Oryzias latipes: one gene and its partner. The protein of the gene in region 1 binds, or shares a complex with, the protein of each later gene. Links are inferred from orthologs where the notes say so. Each region holds a gene or a part of one and is shown on either strand. Other genes may lie near its edges.

The links.
Region 2: the proteins of cinp (region 1) and c11h1orf109 are in contact, whole or in part, in a cryo-EM structure (PDB 8RHN), measured with the Homo sapiens proteins. The link is inferred for Oryzias latipes from reciprocal best matches to the Homo sapiens genes CINP and AIRIM. Residues at the interface, in NP_116019.1 of Homo sapiens: Leu161, Leu162, Thr165, Glu169, Asp177, Leu178, Leu180, Ser181, Tyr182, Ser184, Met185, His188, Pro190, Tyr191, Val192, Glu193, Ser194; in NP_001289959.1 of Homo sapiens: Leu107, Gln110, Ala113, Ala114, Asn116, Leu117, Phe119, Val122, Ala124, Leu125, Phe128, Pro129, Asp130, Leu131, Arg134, Leu135, Lys138, Gln139, Ala142.

The regions. Positions count from the first base shown.
Region 1 is NC_019880.2:161,281-165,528, reverse strand, and holds the start of cinp (cyclin-dependent kinase 2-interacting protein), read left to right. Parts: upstream 1-1,408; 5' UTR 1,409-1,592; coding exon 1,593-1,626; intron 1,627-2,181; coding exon 2,182-2,332; intron 2,333-3,730; coding exon 3,731-3,860; intron 3,861-4,248. UniProt on the Homo sapiens protein: Component of the DNA replication complex, which interacts with two kinases, CDK2 and CDC7, thereby providing a functional and physical link between CDK2 and CDC7 during firing of the origins of replication.
Region 2 is NC_019869.2:20,075,673-20,080,189, forward strand, and holds the start of c11h1orf109 (uncharacterized protein C1orf109 homolog), read right to left. Parts: upstream 2,934-4,517; 5' UTR 2,515-2,933; coding exon 2,237-2,514; intron 1,005-2,236; coding exon 825-1,004; intron 365-824; coding exon 246-364; intron 173-245; coding exon 132-172; 3' UTR 1-131. Other genes in the region: cdca8 (borealin), read left to right, coding at 3,431-3,521. UniProt on the Homo sapiens protein: Part of the 55LCC heterohexameric ATPase complex which is chromatin-associated and promotes replisome proteostasis to maintain replication fork progression and genome stability.

The DNA of each region.
Region 1 (4,248 bases):
GGTCCTTCGGGGTCCTTCGACCAATGATGACGTCGCACTATTTGATTGGCTGTAAGTTGCCACGACCAATGAATTAACGTCGCTAAGTTTTTTTAAAAACTTTATTGACAATTGCGGTATCATACATTAACAATGACATTAACGTTAACAACGAACAATAACAATGTAATGAATATTGCTTCGAAGATCAGTCACCATTGCCAAACATAATATATTAACATAGAAAATAAAGAATAGAGGGGAAAAAAGAAACAATGAACATAACACACAAATAAATAAAAACATAAGTAAAATAAAATAAAGGAACATAGAAAAAATCTAAATAGTCTAATACTAGTTAAGTTAGGGGTACTCGTGAAGTTTGTATTTCTGAACAAAACTAAGCAATTTCAAGCCATTCTTCTTTTTCATATAATGAAGTGATTGAAAGTAAAAACAGAGCTCTTTATTAAATGTTATAAAAAGTGGTTTGGTCTTCAAAACTTGACCTCACCAAGATGGCGGTGCTCTCCTCCTATGAGGAACCACGTGATGTCTCCTCTAGTGATATAACTCATTGGAAGGACCCTGAAGGACCCCGAGAACATCCGGCAACCCGAGAACATCCGGTACCCACACCGGAAGGGGGCGCTGTGGACCGTGCTAACCATAGAAGAAGAACGTAACCCTTCCGGGGGGGGGGGGGTCCAGATGATCGATATGGAAGGTGAGTGGAATCAGATCCAGCTTAGAGGACCAAACACGGAAGGACTGGCGTCTGCACGAGTCCTTTCTGGAAACGGTGGGAACATCCGGTCACGTGACTCGTCAACCCCAACTATGCAGAATTTGAGCGAGTAGTATCGTGAAAAAAGAACACTTCGTTCGTGAACGACAGGAACGGAAGAAAAGCGGCGGGGTTCCGGGGAGCAGAAGGGAGGGGGGGGGCTTTTCAACAGTCCAGAGGTGGATGGGGGGGGGGGGGGGGCAGCGGGTGGAAGAGGGTTTCAGGTGTGACCAAAGGTCAGGTGTAGCAGACTGGTGAGAGCCGCCAGAGAGAGGAGGAGGAGGAGGAGATGAAGATGCTGAGGTTCTCTCTGGAACCAGGATCATAGATGTTCTGGAGATGAAAGCAGGGATGATGATGATGATGATGATGAAAGGCTGGAGAGGCTGGAGACACCAGGAAAGAGGAGGTTCATGGATGAAGGAGGACATGAGGGAGGAGGCTGAGTCACTGCAGCGCCCCCTATAGGGAGCAGCAGATTAGTTTGACCTCCAGACTGTAAAGGTGGAGCTCATGTTCTGCTTTAGTCTTCATCTTTCATTCATGTTTGTTCCCTTTTGGGGTCATGGGGCTGCTGGAGCCTATCCTGGCCACTCGTGGGTGAAAGTGGGAGGCAACCTGGACAGGTGGGCAGTCCGTCGCAGGGCCACAATCACACACTCATGCACACTCACACCTAGGGACACTTTAGAGTCACCATGAAGCATTAGTCTGCCTCTCCTCCCTCATTAGATTGATCCAAACACCACCTTCACCTCTCCACCACATTCTTTCTACTGTATCCCACCCCCTTCAAGCTCCGCCTTCTTCAACTTTGCAGCACGATATGTCCCATGATGCTTCACTGTGGGAACCTGCTGGTGAGGCATGAAGTGGATCTTCACTGAAGGTCACCTTGTTAGTCGTTCCTGGTCGTCTTTTCATGATGTCGTTTTCTAACACGTAGTTTCTGCAGAGCGGCCGGATTTCATTAGAAATTCACCTCCGTGTTTTGGGGGGAACTTTTGGGGCAGAGTAAGCCTGCCCCCATTTCCCATCAGGCATCTGTTCACACTCTCTCCCACTAGCTTACAGTCCCTCAAACCCTGATATTAGTGGTGGAACAGAAATCTATCCAGGCGTACAGTTTAGATCCAGAAAACAAAGATGTTTATCTGCAGGTGGATTATCAGAAGGGGGCGGAGCCTCTGCCCGCCGTAGTGGCTTCCACATCACACTGACAAGCTTTTTGAATGACAATGATATGAATACAGAAATCCTCAGAAATGCAGTTTGAATCTTAAATTTCTTTAGAAATGTCCTCCATCATCAGAGAAAAGCCACAAGAACACGTTAAAACACCAAAAACAGCATTTTCCACGGAGCCACGCTTTGTAAGTCTGCAGGGTTCTCATGCCAGGGTGTTTGTTTGACAGGGAGATCATCAAACAGGAAGTGCCATGCAGTCACAGGAAGTGCACGAAAGGTCAGAGATAATGCTGCCGACTGGCACAACTTGATGCTGAGGTGGGACAAACTGAGCGAGGACGGCTTTGACGTCGCAACCAACATCGTCAACATCAAGAGGTGATTGTGTTTCTAGACCGTACGCCGTCACAGGAAGTACTGGTCCCTCCAAGATGACATCACTTCCTCTTTGTGCCAACATTGTAGCCATTGAGCAACTTTATTTAGATTTTCTTCCGTAATTCGTATGTTTGTTGTTCCAAGATGGTAAACTTTGTAATTCATTGTTAAATTATCAAAATAAATGTTAACATTTCCCGACAGCTCAGCCTCCTTTACGACACTCCCTCCCCCCCTCTCCTGGTCGGGCTGGGGAGGATCTGGTTCCCCTTATGAACACACGGTTCACTTTGGCAGCGTGCATGTATCTCCACCCCCACCTGCACGTGCACACTGCTCCCTGTCTGCCCCCCCCCCCCAACCCACAGTGTCTTGATGGACAGATGTCTTCAGATTTTCACCTTGGATGTAACATTTGTCTTTCCAGCAGATCTGGTAGAATTGTTACAGCTTAATATAATAACTTATTCAAATCAGTGCTTTTATCCCCCACTTTTTCACCTCTATTCCCTTTACTCCCCCCCCCCCCACACACACACTAAATGTAACTAATAAATAAAAAATAATAAAGTAGCAAAAAGGGGTTTATTCAAATCTACACTCTGGTTTCTGGAGTTCTATAACCTCTTTGTAGTAAATCCTGTCCAACAAAAAGGCCTTCAGCTCTGATCTGTTTGCTACGACGGAGTTTTAGGGCCACCAAAAAAAAAGTTAAATTACGACATTTTATCTCGTACATTTACGAGAAAAAAACTCGTAATTTTATTATTTATTTTTTTTGGTGGCCCTAATACTCCGTCATAGTTTGCTCAGCTGTTGGACAGAATAAGTTAAAAAAAAACAGCAGAGAAGTCCCCCCCCCCCCGATTACAGCGCCCAAAACTAAAAGACCGTCGCTGTAATGCAGCAGTGTACATGCATGTATGTATATACATGTATGTACACTGTATGTACATGTATTTACTCTTTACATACATGTATGTTGTTTTTTTCACAGACAATGAAAATATCAATGATGTTACTCAGAACTGATCTTTTTAATTATTTTTTTTAATTATTCAACATTGAATCACAAAGTTTACACCTCGGAAGAACAAACATACGAATTACAGAAGCATATCTAAATAATGTTGCTCAATGGCTACAATGTTGGCGCAAACAGGAAGTGACACAACGTTCCCACATGCGGGCACCAATCGGCGAGCCGTTCCAGATCAGGTAGCTACATATGACATCACAGGAAGTCCATGTCTGCGCGCCTTCAGCTCACTTCCTGTCCGTCTGCAGAGCGTTCTGCCCGACTACACCTGTTTGACCTGCAGGTGTCTCCTGCCACTCAGCGTGCACTAATGTCCTGCCCGTCACTCAGAAGGTTCTGACCCGTCCTGTGCTCCTCAGGTCTCAACATGAGCAGCTGCTGGTTCCTGAAGCTTCATCATCGTCTTCCTCCTCAGCGACCCTGCAGCCCTCAGGAGCTGCAGAGCTGCAGGCTCAGTGCCTCAAACTGCTGGACATCGTGGAGAAAATGGTGAGTTCCTTCAGACCTGAAGGCACTGAATAAAAGAGGAGGAATGCATCGGAACCAGAACTGGACCTGCTGTGACCGACCAGAACATACAGACCCAAAGCCACACCTCTGGCTCCTCCCTGCTGCTCCAAATTTAGGAGCATTTGGAGCCATAGTGGTGTCCGAGAGTGTTCGTTTAGGGGGAGACGTAGCGACCCTCCGCCAGTAGGGCGTTCGGCGGCGTGCTGTACCATGGAGAGGCTTTTCTTCACGTGGGCGTGGTCTGACGCTCAGAAATGTCATTTAACGATTTTATAAAGTTATCAAAGCGACATCATGTTTTCCGAATGCTGGCAGCTACACGCTGACGGCGACTATTCGTGACGTCGTCTAACTGTAGCAACGTCCA
Region 2 (4,517 bases), on another chromosome or scaffold:
CGACTGTGTTCAGTAGACAATAAAGACGATTTGATGAAGTGTCTTCAAATCCCTCGTCTTCCTCTCCGTGTCTGCATCATTGACTTCTGTCCTGCTCAGAAGGTTCTGGTTCCAGTTCTGCTCCTCCGTCTTCACTCCAGCTCCAGGAAAAATGACACTCTGCAAAGTGTTTCTGCAGGAGACAAGAGTCCCACATCTCAGAGTTGGCGGAGCTCGCGTTTCAAGCTTCGGACAGTTAATGTTACCTGTGATTCGCTGCTCGCCGTCAGGAGACTCCAGGGACTTCCACCTCTCAGGAAGGGATTCCAGCAGAGCGAGGTCGTTGGGTCTGAGCGTTTGCAGCAGAACTTTCCTCTGCAGGAATCTGAACATGAGCTCAGGAGAGCAGAAGACAGAAACAAAAAAACAGACTGCTGGCTCTACCATTCCCCGCCCTCGCCGCCAACTTTTGTTTTGCCCTGGAGGGCATGATCATAATCATAATTTTAAAGTTTTCTATGGATATCCTCCGTTTTGGCTTTGATTGAAGGATTTGAAATATATTTTTTGAACCCCATTAGAGATCTTTGCCCCATTCATTTTTGTGATGGTTTCTCCCACTGGAATGTTTATTTTATTTTATTTGTTAGTTTGTTTGTTTGTGTGTGTAGGGGGTGGACTATGTCAAGCCTTCCTATGCAGCGGGTACCGGGTCTGTGCAGATCTTGGTAAATATTTTAGCATTTGCCGTTTCGCTCTCAGAAAAAAAGAATTGCAAAAACAATCCGGTCCTTGCCGTCCATGAATGCTGCGGACCGTACCAACAGCACAGACAGGAAGGATACTGCTGCCTGTAGTGGCGCTCGGCGTCCTGAAGCCACTCCAGCATGTCTGCGACTGACGGGGTGACGGCGGAGCGCTCTGTGACGGCCTGCAGGTCCAAACTGGTGGCGTTCTGCTCATACAGCTGCATGACGGACCTCACCTGGTTACTGATGGCGTCTCTGGCAGACTGCAGACGACACCTGAGAAGGAAAGGAGTCTGTCTTAGTCCTCGGACAAGGAAGCCCTTGAAGACTGATAAAAATCATGTTTTTATCTGTTTTGACAAGTTTTTGCGGCCTTTTTCTGATGATCGAGGACATACATAAAGAAAAGTATGCTTAAAATTGGCAATCTGAAAATGTCTTTATTCAAATTGCTGTGAATGAGGAGCAGAAGAAAAAACCATGATGTCCCTGAATGCATCAGCACTGTCTCTGCTATGGACACACCTGGCATATGACACGGTATAACGGGGTGGGATTATATACGTTCGCTTCCTTCCACTCCCTTTCAAGCAATATTTATTAATATGTCTAAATATCCTAAGTTTGATTCGTCATTGTATGAATGTATAACTGATGATTGTATTGTTGTTGTGTATTGTTCTTATTTGATTGGTTGAAATAAACCATTTAAAAAAAAAAAGAAAAAAAAAGACACGCGTTCCAGAACATGTTAACCCATAGTGTTCACACAGTGCTAGTGGGTTGGGGCTTCTCCTTCTTCTACAATTGACCATGACTTGTCTTCCACCTACAGTTGGCAGAGTCTTGGTGCGAAATGTCAAAGTGGTGCAAATCTCTTGTATATCTGACTCCAGGCTTTTTCTTTTCGCATCTCTAGTCCAATATATGAAAGATTTAGTGTCATATATTCCGACTGGAATCAAATCAAAATCATTAATTTGTCCTCCATGGTCAACTTTCAAACGGTTGGTGTTTCCGTAAATTTAAAGGGGTGCCATCCATGCGTCACTACCAAATCTGAGTCCCTAATTGGTCAAAGTTCGACCTGGTTTAACTTTTAAGGTACATTTAATAGATGCACTTTTTGTACATACAGAGCTCAGAAATTATCGTAGAAACTTCAAGAGTTTAAACCAAAATGCAAATTTACATTTTTTTTATTGGTGGTTTCTTGAACGCGCATCGCTGAGGGCGGTGTGAACGTAGCTTAATGATGGTTCTAGTTTCTGGTAAAGGTCTTATGTGGCTTATTTTGATTTGGGGTTTTATCTTTAATATTTTCTTTAAACGGAAATTGTAATATATGGTTTGGTGCTAGTATCTGTACTACAGGAGCTCTTATTTTGAAACAAACTTTTTTTATGCTGTCACAAAAAACAGAGCTAATAGTCTTTTCAACGTCACAGGAGTCCCTGTGATGACGTCATCCGAGAGGCGCGTGTGTGTGGAGTTGTCGCGTGTCTCACATCTTCTCGTTGAGTTTCTCCAGCACCGTGTCCGCGGCCTCCTGCAGTTTGAAGCGCAGCCGCTCCTCCAGCTTCGGGAAGGTTCCGAGCGGCGTGCTGGAGACCCGCACGTTAGAGAGAGCTCTCATCTGCTCCGCTAGGTTCCCCAGAGACCCCAGGAGAGGGCTGCACTCCGCTAGCTCGCTCCCCCACAGCCGCTGGTTGCTCTCCAGCGCGGCGAAGCTGTTCCTGAACGCCTGGTGGAGGGCGCTGAGCGTCGGTCGGGAGATGTCAGACATGCCCTCGGCCTCCGCTCTGGCTTGGATGGGACTGTAAATATAGTTCTGACCAAGTCTGAAAGCCTCAGCAAAATTCTGCACTACTTTTCTGCGCAGAACCAGAAAGCGCTTCCGGTGTCAAGTAGTGACATATGCTGCCTTTACTGATCCTTGGAGATACGGTGCCCCATAAATACAGTAGCTCCTCAAAAAAGGCACTTGATTTCGGAAAATTGTATTTTTTCGTGCTCTCCTTTTTAAATCTACATACACACATACATACATTTTATTGATATATTTTCCCACTGGTTTTGTTAATGCTTCTGGACTTTTTGAGAACTTTTTTTTATATTTATAATCACAGGCATGTCTGTAGGAAGTTGCTATTTATCTTGGTTAAATTGGGTAAATTGTAATTGTGAGTTAAAAAAACTTTTTACTTGGTGACTATTTTTAGTATTTCCTGCCCTTCAGCTGTTTTACAAAAATGCTTTTTTTGATTCTTACTGAAACGCTTTCCATCAGGGGACGATTCATTTTTTCCCGAGTTGTCTTCGAACGCAGCATTGAACATTCGCAGTGCCGAACCCTGATGACGGGGCTCAATCCACGTCCTGATTGGCTGGATTTGTGTCTTGGCTCCGCCTCGCGCGGACATTTGAAAACGACTTCGCGAAGAAGGCAGGCCAGAGGGAAACCCACACAACTGTTACCTTTGTAAGAAAACCCGCTTCAAACTCAGACGAATTGAATCTAAAAACATTTATATCATAAGTGAGACCAAAGAATGAAAACGGGAGTAAATTAATCTGCCGGATAAACTCCTGCCGATTCCAAAGCTAACAACATAGCTGCTAACGTCCTCGGCGGCTTATTTTTTTCCATCTCGAAAACAACGTTTCACAGTTTTCTCCTGTTTGTGAAGTTCTGAGCGGACATGGCGCCCAGGAAAAGGACCACGAAGCAGCGAAAGAACAACCAGAAAATTGAAAAACTGGAAGTTTTTTTGGAGGATTTCGACAGCGAAGGTAAACGACAATGCTAGTTCGGCTTAAGTAAAGGCTCGGCCTACAGTTTGTTGTCTGAAATAAAGTGTTCTGAAACCCAACAAACCGAACCTGTTCAACCTTTGTCAGTAACAGCTGAAAGAGCTGACCAGGTTGGGGATATATATATATATATATATATATATATATATATATATATATATATATATATATATATATATATATATATATATATATATATATGCCAGCTCTTACCAGCTAATTCAGAATTGACAAAGCCTCTTGGATAAGGGGTGAAACATCTTCTAACTTTAAAAACTAAGTCTAGATGACAGCCCCTAAACCTACTACTATGATGGAATCAACCTGGATGAATGAGTCTTCAAGACAATCCAAAGAAAACAAAAAATAACTTCATTTAGCTGTTATAATTTGTTATTATCATTTGGAAATTGCAGGTTTTTTTTCATGAAAGACCCTACAAGAGTTCCTCTCCTTATATGTGCAATTTCATGCACTAATAAAAAAATGTGCTCAAAAACTAGTTAGAATTTGTTTGTAAATTTACTGATCGCTTATTTCCTGTTTGTGTTTTTTGTTTTGTTGCTAAAAAGATAATTATACGTAAAAAAGGAAGTTCTGCTCCTTCGAAATGATGCAATAAACCGGATCATAAAGAAGTGGATGGAAAAAGTGCTATAAAAAAACAATCTAAATTTTGATATCAAAACTCATTAAATATGCATCTTTTAAAGCTTAGCATTTTTTAATAGCTTGAAAAAATTAAATACGAAGAAATGCTATTTAAGCCTTATTTCTTTACTTATGTCCTCCATCATCAGAAAAATGAACATGTTAAATACGCCCTTTTCATCAGAATGGATCTTCCACATATAATTTTTTTTCTAGTAAAATTTCATTTGTCAAAAACATCAACAAATTCCACTTATATAACACTTGAGGCAAATGAAAACTATCAATATATACTCGTATCACGTAACATTAAAATGTTAAACT